Linked DNA regions of Oryzias latipes. The protein of the gene in region 1 purifies or fractionates together with the protein of each later gene. This does not show direct contact. Links are inferred from orthologs where the notes say so. Each region holds a gene or a part of one and is shown on either strand. Other genes may lie near its edges. The genes, in order: rnf114 and parp12.

Region 1 (4,261 bases):
TGTGAGGAGTTGTAAGCTAGTGGGAGGGGGTGTAAATAGATGGGATATGGAGGCAGGCTTACTATGTTCTACCTACAACTTCCAATGAACTCCTGTCACTCTACAGAAAATATGACCAAGGATTTTTGATTTAGTCTAAAAATAGCATGATTGTAATTAAAAGAGCACTGGAAATGCTTTCACAATGGATCAAAAGATTATTGGAGAGGAACTTTAAGGTCATCACTTCGTACCAACTATAGTACACTTTTCGGTCGTCACTTCTGCCAGCGCAGGTAGATGATCAGACCTCAAACAGTGTGAAACAAAACCAAAATCCTCCTCTGTTTGTTGTTCAATAAACCAACAATCAAGGACAACTTGACCTTTAAACAAGCTGCTAGACACAATTACTGGCCTTGAGAATGTTTACTCCGAAGAAGCTTTTTTTTAATGTTGGATATATAATAGTTGGGTCTGTCAAAGTGCAGTAGACACCTTATAAGCAGGCCCTTTGCAGGTGCTTCCATTTATACTGTTACATTATGTTTTGACCTCTGCTTGTAAAATTCCACATCTTCTGCCAAATCGGACGTTGGTGCATAGTCAACTGCTTTGGGAGAATATTCAAAATCCCCTACTGGTTCACCCATGACTCAAGACTTTCTTCAGGTTATATCACAGTCATTTAGGTCCTCTGACAATAGCATGATCCTGATACCCTGCTCTGTCACGCCTAAGACAAGGGAAGTCTAAAGATGGGCTTTCATCACCATTTTGCCAAAAAAGCTTTTTCAGAAGATTACTAATTAGAGACTGGTCTTAGGACTTTAAAGAATAAAATACAGGTTGTGAGGATGGGAGACATGATTTTCATTCCAACAGAGCAGGAATATTTTTGACGGTGTAGGTACCACAGCCATTCGGCCTGCAATAACCTTTCTGGGTCCTTCAACTAGTGCCGACGTCACATTATGTGATTGGCTGTCCATTGGTCCGATGACGTTTCAGATAGTGATTGGTCTGGACAAATTACGATACAACCATAGAAGTGCATTGCAGCCGAACGGACTGTGTTCCGAACCCTTCTCCGGACCGCACACTTTAACAAAGCACCTTCCCTGCCTGCAAACACGAAGCTACAAGACTCCAGCTGCTCTGCTCAGAGACATGGTTCGCTTGTGTGGAGCAGCAGGTTCATTCTAAAAACCACAGATCTTTTTACAAAGTGGGTTGTGGCAAAATCTCTCCATAAACATTACAAAGGATAATGTCAGACACAACTTACGAGGGAAAATAACTTTATGTAACAAAAGGAAATGTGAAATGAAAATATGTAGAGCCCGAGCAGATCTGGATGCTATGTAGTTTGTCCACGTGGTGCTACCGTAGTGTGACGTCATCCTCAGTCGAAGGGACCCCGAACGGTTATTGCAGGGCGAATAGTAATGGTACCTACAATGGCTCTATTCTCAACTCCCACTTCTACACCTAGATAAATGAACAAAAGCAGTCAAATATTGACCCCCCTTTTCTATACAATGGAGACAAAACCATTTACCCAGAAGGCATCTGTGTCCTGGACACATGGTAGTGAACAATGAATCATCATTCAACGTCTTGTGATGGTTATGGACTTACAGACACTTGAGGAGAGGGGTTAATCTACGTACAAATGAAAATAATTGGTAGGTATGTAAATATAAGTAATGACCTTTCATAGACAACTAATTCCACTGTGGCTGTGAAACCTGTGCAAAAGCATACAAATAAAAACCACATTCAATGATTAAAATGTGCACCAATAGTGGTTTGAGCATCCAATGTACCTGATTCTATATGATTCTATCCTTGTAGGGTTTTTGTCAACTAAAATTTCTATTTTTTCTCTTTCATTGTTGTAACTGCACATACTTTGTAAAAACAAAATAACATGAAAACCTTTGTTACTTATTTATGACTACAACCTGATGTTTTTGATTTTGTTGTGCCTTACCTCACAGCAGCAGGCTGGCTTTGGACACTTGTCCTCACCCCTTCCTCAATATAGTCCTGGTATTTTAAACAGGCAGCTGTGTGGCTCCTCATCTGAGACAGAACAATCTTGTGCAAAAGAAGAATTCATTAATAAATGTAAGTTGAAACTGTGTGGTTAATTACGTACAACAAACGGTTGCCTCATAGTATACCTGAACTCCACATCCCTTACAAGCTGAGATTGATGACTGGATGAGGGCTTCTAGATCCACTGCTTTGGTCCACGGCCCAACTGTAGTCCTACATACCGCACATACGGGCTTTTGAGGACGCAAACACTCTTGCAAACAATTGTGACAGAATCTGCCAAGAGGTAGAAAGAAATAACAACAATAAAAAGACAAATATTTAAACAAAATCCTCACATAAATATAATTGATTAGTTGGAATTATTTAATACCCACACAGCTCTCAAAGACAATTATTTTTTACTTTAGCTTCCGGTAAATTCGATGGAAATCCCCACCTCAAGGGGGCGCAGGGACTTGTAGTCCGTCACATTAGTCTTTCGAGTAACTGCAAAAGATTTATGAACTACATTTCCCTAATAAAGCCTATTCTTTGATGTAAACAAAACTGAAACTGATTTAACAGGCTAGAATAGGTTTTGCCAAATATATACACGCAGAAAAAGACAACATTACAGAATTTTAGCTCATAGCGAATCTAAGAATATTAACGTTGGCATTCTGTTAATGCCAGAATGCGTTAAAAGATCAAGCATTTCCCTTCATTGTTTTTAACTGGTATCGTTTCATCGATGGTGCTGAGCCTCAGTAAGGGGAGGGTGGTCAAAATAAGGCGAAATACTTACGTATGTCCACATTGTGTTCTGACAGGTCTCTCAAAGATTTCGAGGCAAACTGGACACATAAAATCTGACACGTCGTTGCTGCCGTCAGCAGTGGTTTCTCTCTGTTGTGCAGCGCTAAATCCTCCGCGCACCGCCATTTCTATTTCTTTTCTTCACTGCATTAGTTCCAAGCAACCCTTCCCATAGCAACGTCACTGGGTTTTGGTTGTTTTTTTACGGCGTGGGGCGGAGCCACCGCTGCATGTATGAGCAGAGGCTGCTCTACGTGCAGTTCTATTTATTCTGTCTGGCAGTGCAGCAGTTGACTCAAACTTGAGGTCTATGGCGGAAATTCTCCACCATAACTGTAAAATCCAACCACCTCCAAGTTCTACTAAGTTTAAGGCAGTCATTCGGCGACTGGAAAATATAACTTTCAATTCAAAAGAGAATGTAATCGTCCTCGTTTTCTAACGTCATTGTCAGTAATTGGGGAATTTAGAATAATGTCCGTATCCATCATCTTTTTTAGGTGCAGGTGAGGTGATCGAAGAATGCAGCCTGGTATTGTTACGTTTGGCCTCTGATTAAACCAGTAAATATTTTATCTGCATAATTAAAAACATAAATATAAACCAAACTATTGGCCTTTGTACTATTGTGATCCAAATCAACACTTCCTTATTGTGGGTGACTTTAGGTGGTGAAATTAATTAGCGTCTAAAAAAACTAGCGTTTGCAGTGTCTAATGATTAATGACTGACGGTCTACCTATAGGGTTTATTATGTGCATCTGTTTGTTGGTTTTGTCTAATACTAATGACTGTCAGTGTGGGCTCTGAATCCCCTCCCTTTACACGTGGGCCCCTAGTGGTCATGAACTGTCAAGATTTTGCGCATGCGTACTCCGCTAAAAATGAATTTTCAACAGCTGAGGAGGCGTAACTAGCGATGGTTAGCACTTATGAAAAGGTAAGATAACGATTTGATTGTGTTTCTGGGTTGGTTATGACTCGTAACACCTACAGTATCGTAATAACATGTTTGTTGATAAGAGAAATGGCTTGTTATTTTATCTGTTTGGGTAATTTCTCTTATATAGCGTGAAATAGCTGAGTGAGTGTAGCAATGGAACGCCCTGCTAGCCCGCCCAGAGTCAATTGCTAACTAGCCATCTGCGCTTAAATGGGCGTTCACTGCTTAGCTTGTACTCATTTGGGGGTCAGTGCCAGTTTTATTTAGGATGTCGAAAGTCTTTTAGAACACGTTCTACAGTGGATGTGTTGTTTTACATCACCCGTGTTAATTAACGATGCTGACCTAACTGATGCGCAGTGAAAAGGCATGTTGATGTAGCTTGCTAGCTAACTGGATATCCAATGCCAGGGCAAAAAAACTGGAACAGCCACCCGATTTATTTACCAGGAAACGACGTCCAATTTCCTGGACCTC
Region 2 (4,541 bases), on another chromosome or scaffold:
TCAAAAATTGTCTTTAGTGTGTCAAAGGTCATATATGATCATATCTATGGATATAGTTTACTCTGAAAGGCTTAAGAAAAGCAGGATAGAGACCCTTTAAAAGGTTTTAGACGCAGAAGCTCGAGACGGTCACATACACGGGTTTACGTAGACTTTTTGGACGTGCGTCGCCATGGCGATGTGAAAGCAGTAACGTCTGCACTTACAGGAGAGACTCCCTGCGACTCCAGCACTCTGCTGGTTCAGGATGATGAATTTGTTCCTGTAGATGCGGTGAAGGTTCTGAGTGTTCTCCGGACTCAACCCTTGGAGCAGCTTCAGTCCGTGCTGGTCCAGGACGTGAGCTCTTTTGCAGGAGCCGCCGAACCGGCAGTCCCCCTGGAGGTGGTGCCTGCAGACGTGCAGCTTCGTGCAGGAGGTGGTGAAGTTGCAGTTGCCGAAGGGACCGTCGCCCATGTTGTAATGGGAGCACACCTGCAGCGAGGACGATATTGGCGTCACGAAGCGGCGGCGGCGACTTCCTCTGCGTCCCTTCGAGGTCGTGACACCTACCTCAGGAAGCAGGAAAGGGTCGTTCTGCAGCAGCAGCTGGAACAGCTGTTTCTGACTCAGTTCCTCCAGACCGAATCTCTGCAGCAGCACAGCGTTGTGTGGAGAGGCCAGGCTGTGCGAGTTTTTGCACGAGTGCCTGGAAAGGAAAGCGCGTTCTCCGTTAAAAACCAAACTCTGGTTCTTGAAGGAGCTCCTCCCTGCAGGTTTACATGAGTGGCTGTCAAACTCCAGTCCTGGAGGCTTTGCTTCTTATCAAACCACCTCTGCTCTTTATGGGGAACAACACGCCTGGTGCAGGTAATCAGCTGAATGTAGGCCAGAGACATCTGGACCTGGAGTTTGAATCGCCCGTCTGCTCCACCACACCTGGGGTCCAATCCACAGGTGTGCAGAGGCCGATTCAAGTTGTTTGGAGTCATAATTCAAAGGGATATGCGATTCAGTATTCAAATTTGCATTTCAATATGACAATTGTTAAAAAATAAATAATTAAATCAATTGCATTTCAAATTAGCATGTTTTTTTTGTCATAATTGAATTGAAAATGCATTTGGAAATTTACTATACAGTATTAAAACCAGCATTTCAATAAATGGTTTGCTTTAGATTCATTTTAAAGTTCCTTAAAATCCATAGCATTCATTGTAAAACGCTGTGCGGTTTTGGTCCCTTTACATTTGCGTAGCATTGTGCTCTTTGTGGGTCAAAATTCAAATGGAAATGCAAACTCTCAGCAGGGCGGGGCCTACCGCCTCCCTAAATGGGCTAAATCCCGCCTCCACTTCCTGTGGTCGACAACATCCCTAGGAGGAGTTTACATTTCTAGAAGGTACTAAAAGGGATTTTTTAAGGAAAATCCGAGATGGGGGGGGACTCTTCCCAAAGTCAAAGGTCAACAAAACTTGGGTTGTAGACTTAGCGTGGTGGCGTGTGGAATTTTGTGACGATCGACTGAACAAAAGTTTTCTTTTCCCATTTTGTACATAAATGTGTAAACTTGCTAAATTTTTGCACGTTGCCGCAAACTGTCCATCAAGTTGTACGTAGATCCTGTGGCCATCCCATAATAATTTCAAAACTTCCTTTGGATCTCCCCGACATGCCTTTTGTGGATTTTGGCCTCAAAAGACATATTGGCCGCAAGCTTTCTCCTGCAGTGACGTCATCAATTTGCGGGGAGGAGGGGGCATGAAATCAAAAGGATGCTGACTGAGGTCGGAGGTCAAGAGGAGGAGCAAAGAGAAGGAGGGGGGTGTAGAGGAGAAGCAGATGAAGTGAAACTGTGTCTTTCTCTGTTCACAACACTGACTGCAAAAAAACAAAACAATGGAGCTGTGACGTCACACATGGAAAATGCACCCCCCTCCAGTGCTTCCTGAGTCATCGTATCCATGGCGACAGTAGTTTCTTCTTCTTTCTTTTTTAATTGACAGAATTCAAAATTACAGAGCATTTTTGGAACATTCAAATCCAAAAACAGAAGGCAGTAAAGGATTTTACAAACAGAAAACTAGAACAAAGTCAAAGCAGTAAATGAAAACAATATAAATAATATAATAAAGTATAGTTATAAGTTATTAAAATAAATAAGACATTCAATCTTATGAATTGGAAACTCTGTGAAGATTCTAGATAGACATATAAAAGCAAACTAAAAGAAGCAATAAACTAAATCTATTAAAAATAAAAAACTCATCCAGATAATCCAAGAAACAGTTAAAGAGATTTATAGCTTTCTTTTTTGTATTTTTTAAAGGGATTTATAAAAAGAAAAGCAGGAGATCGTTTTTGAAACACAAAAGTTGTGCTTATTTGTCATAAAACGACATTTATGAATAAAAAAATGTACCTAAAAAAACTAAATTGATAAAACTAAACGGAATATTCTTTTCTATTCTGATACACCCAAACTGAACTGAAGTATGAAATGTAAGGACTGAGGGTTTTTTATTTATTTAAAAGCTAAATCGTTCCAGAAAATGGTTCCGAAACTCATTTGGAAGCCACGCCCACATGACGACACTTCTTCAGAAATGAAAACTTGAAACTTCAAAGCTTTAAAAAGAAAAAAAAAAAACTTTAAAGCTTTTCTGTGTTTTTCTCTGGAAGGAAACTGTTGACTCAATCGAATCGAACCGAACCGGACCGGAACTCTGGGTCAAAGAACCTGCAGAGCGAAACTCACCCGAACGAGCAGTTCCCGGAAACGAAATACTTGCACAGGTGCAGGCGCTCGCAGCGCGCGCCCGCGCACGCGCCGCTCTTCGCCTGGCACAGCCGCAGCGGGGTCTTCAGGACCAGCAGGCTGTCGGGGCCCACCAGCTGGCCGCGGCCCGCGGGCCGCCTGCCCTCCCGGACGGCGACCACAGCCTCGTCCGTCAGCGCGGCGCGCAGCTCGGACGCGGGGAAGGAGCCCGCGCGGCGGCGGAGCTGTTGCTCCAGCCGCTGGAGGTCCAGACTGCCGTGGTGGTCGCTCAGGAGCTTCACGACCGCCGCGGTGATGTCTGACGTCATCGTGAAGGAAACGGTCCCCGGTGTCAGCGGAGCATCAGCTGTGAGGTCTGCAGAGCAGAAACTAAAACGAAACCTAAACTGATGAGAAAGGTGACCACCTCAACTGAAGCCCCGCCCACTTTAAAAAAGTTACGATAAATATCTTTAGTGACAAATATATAACTTTGGAGTTGGTTAAAAAAACACAATTTTAACACATGTCACTTAAATATAAAAGCAATCCGTTCTGATTGTTTACGTTAGGACGCTGTTTACGTCATGACGTAGACGGACGTCCATAGCAACCAAACCGGCAGGTTATTTCACCTTAGCAACCGCAGGAAGCGAAGACCATGGAAAGAAACGGGACAACGACATTAATTCACGAGCAGATTCAACAGCTACGGTAAAAACGTTTCGTTTATTTAAAGACTGTGATTTAAAAAATGTCCTTTTCTGCGATTTCAGAAATTTTTACCAACTTTATACCATATTTATGCTCATTTGATGACTTTAACATTATGAGCTTCCATCCCTATATGGGTTGTTGCCAAGAAACAACAATCAGTGAGAAATGCTTGTAAATAAAGAATATACTACTGTAACGTTTATTTTGAAATAAAAAAGTGCCCCCCCCCCCCCATTGAAAACGAGATGCCAGAGGCTTATATCCTACAAGTCAATAAAAGTGAAATAAAGTGTTTGTTTCTGTCAACCTCGTACACGCCTGTGCTAAAACGTCCCACAGAGTTTCAAATGCGATTCTTCGGGGGGAGAGCGACATGTTTGAGCGCTTCATGGAGCGCCGGGATCCCCAGGAGCTGCTGGAGCCCCAGGAGCAGCAGCAGCCGGAGCTCCAGACTGGAGGAGCGCGGCGTCTGACGGCTGATGGGGTGAGAGGCTTTTTGATGGCGGTCCTGACCGACCATCATGACCCATTTGATGGTTGTTGTCGGTCCGTTGTGACCTCTGCAAACTCTCAAACCGGATTTATTCGTTTTTTTAGGACTCAAAACTGCAGATTTGTTTTTCTTGATTGTTCTTGTTAGTCTGTAGCTGCAGAGCAACTTATTTCCTGTTTCTTTTTTGATCTGTTTTCAAAGTCGTCTTTAATCATTATTACGCCGCTTTTAGCCGAAATTTAAAAAAAAAAAAACCTTTTTCTAGGAGATAGTTTCTGCATTTTTTCGTCCGCTCCTGATTCACATAGATTTGAACGAAGAAATACTCAGAAATGCCATTTTAATCTTAATTTTCTTTATCCGTGTCCTCCATCATGACAGAAAATGCTCCATGAACACGTTAAAAACCCAGTTTTCATCAGAGTGGGTCTTTAAACGGTAAACTAAATCCCATTCCTTACAGATGCTGACCCTCAGACAAAAACTCCACATCGCTCAGCAGGAAGTAAAAGAGACGCAACAAGAAAAAGAGAAGCTGAAGCAGAAGTTTGACCGGATCATCGACGGCAGGAAGGTCAGGACGTGACCCGCCAG

Evidence for each region.
Region 2: the proteins of rnf114 (region 1) and parp12 purify together in Homo sapiens (affinity purification with mass spectrometry; 3 studies listed by BioGRID and IntAct, counting the BioPlex papers as one, with this or other methods). This does not show direct contact. The link is inferred for Oryzias latipes from reciprocal best matches to the Homo sapiens genes RNF114 and PARP12.

Annotation. Positions count from the first base shown.
Region 1 is NC_019865.2:15,131,883-15,136,143, forward strand, and holds the start of rnf114 (E3 ubiquitin-protein ligase RNF114), read right to left. Parts: upstream 3,053-4,261; 5' UTR 2,968-3,052; coding exon 2,831-2,967; intron 2,320-2,830; coding exon 2,169-2,319; intron 2,083-2,168; coding exon 1,976-2,082; intron 1-1,975. UniProt on the Homo sapiens protein: E3 ubiquitin-protein ligase that promotes the ubiquitination of various substrates. In turn, participates in the regulation of many biological processes including cell cycle, apoptosis, osteoclastogenesis as well as innate or adaptive immunity.
Region 2 is NC_019864.2:30,384,540-30,389,080, forward strand, and holds the start of parp12 (poly [ADP-ribose] polymerase 12), read right to left. Parts: upstream 3,095-4,541; 5' UTR 3,067-3,094; coding exon 2,738-3,066; intron 689-2,737; coding exon 553-688; intron 475-552; coding exon 207-474; intron 1-206. Other genes in the region: ccdc113 (coiled-coil domain-containing protein 113), read left to right, coding at 3,399-3,451, 3,794-3,938, 4,411-4,521.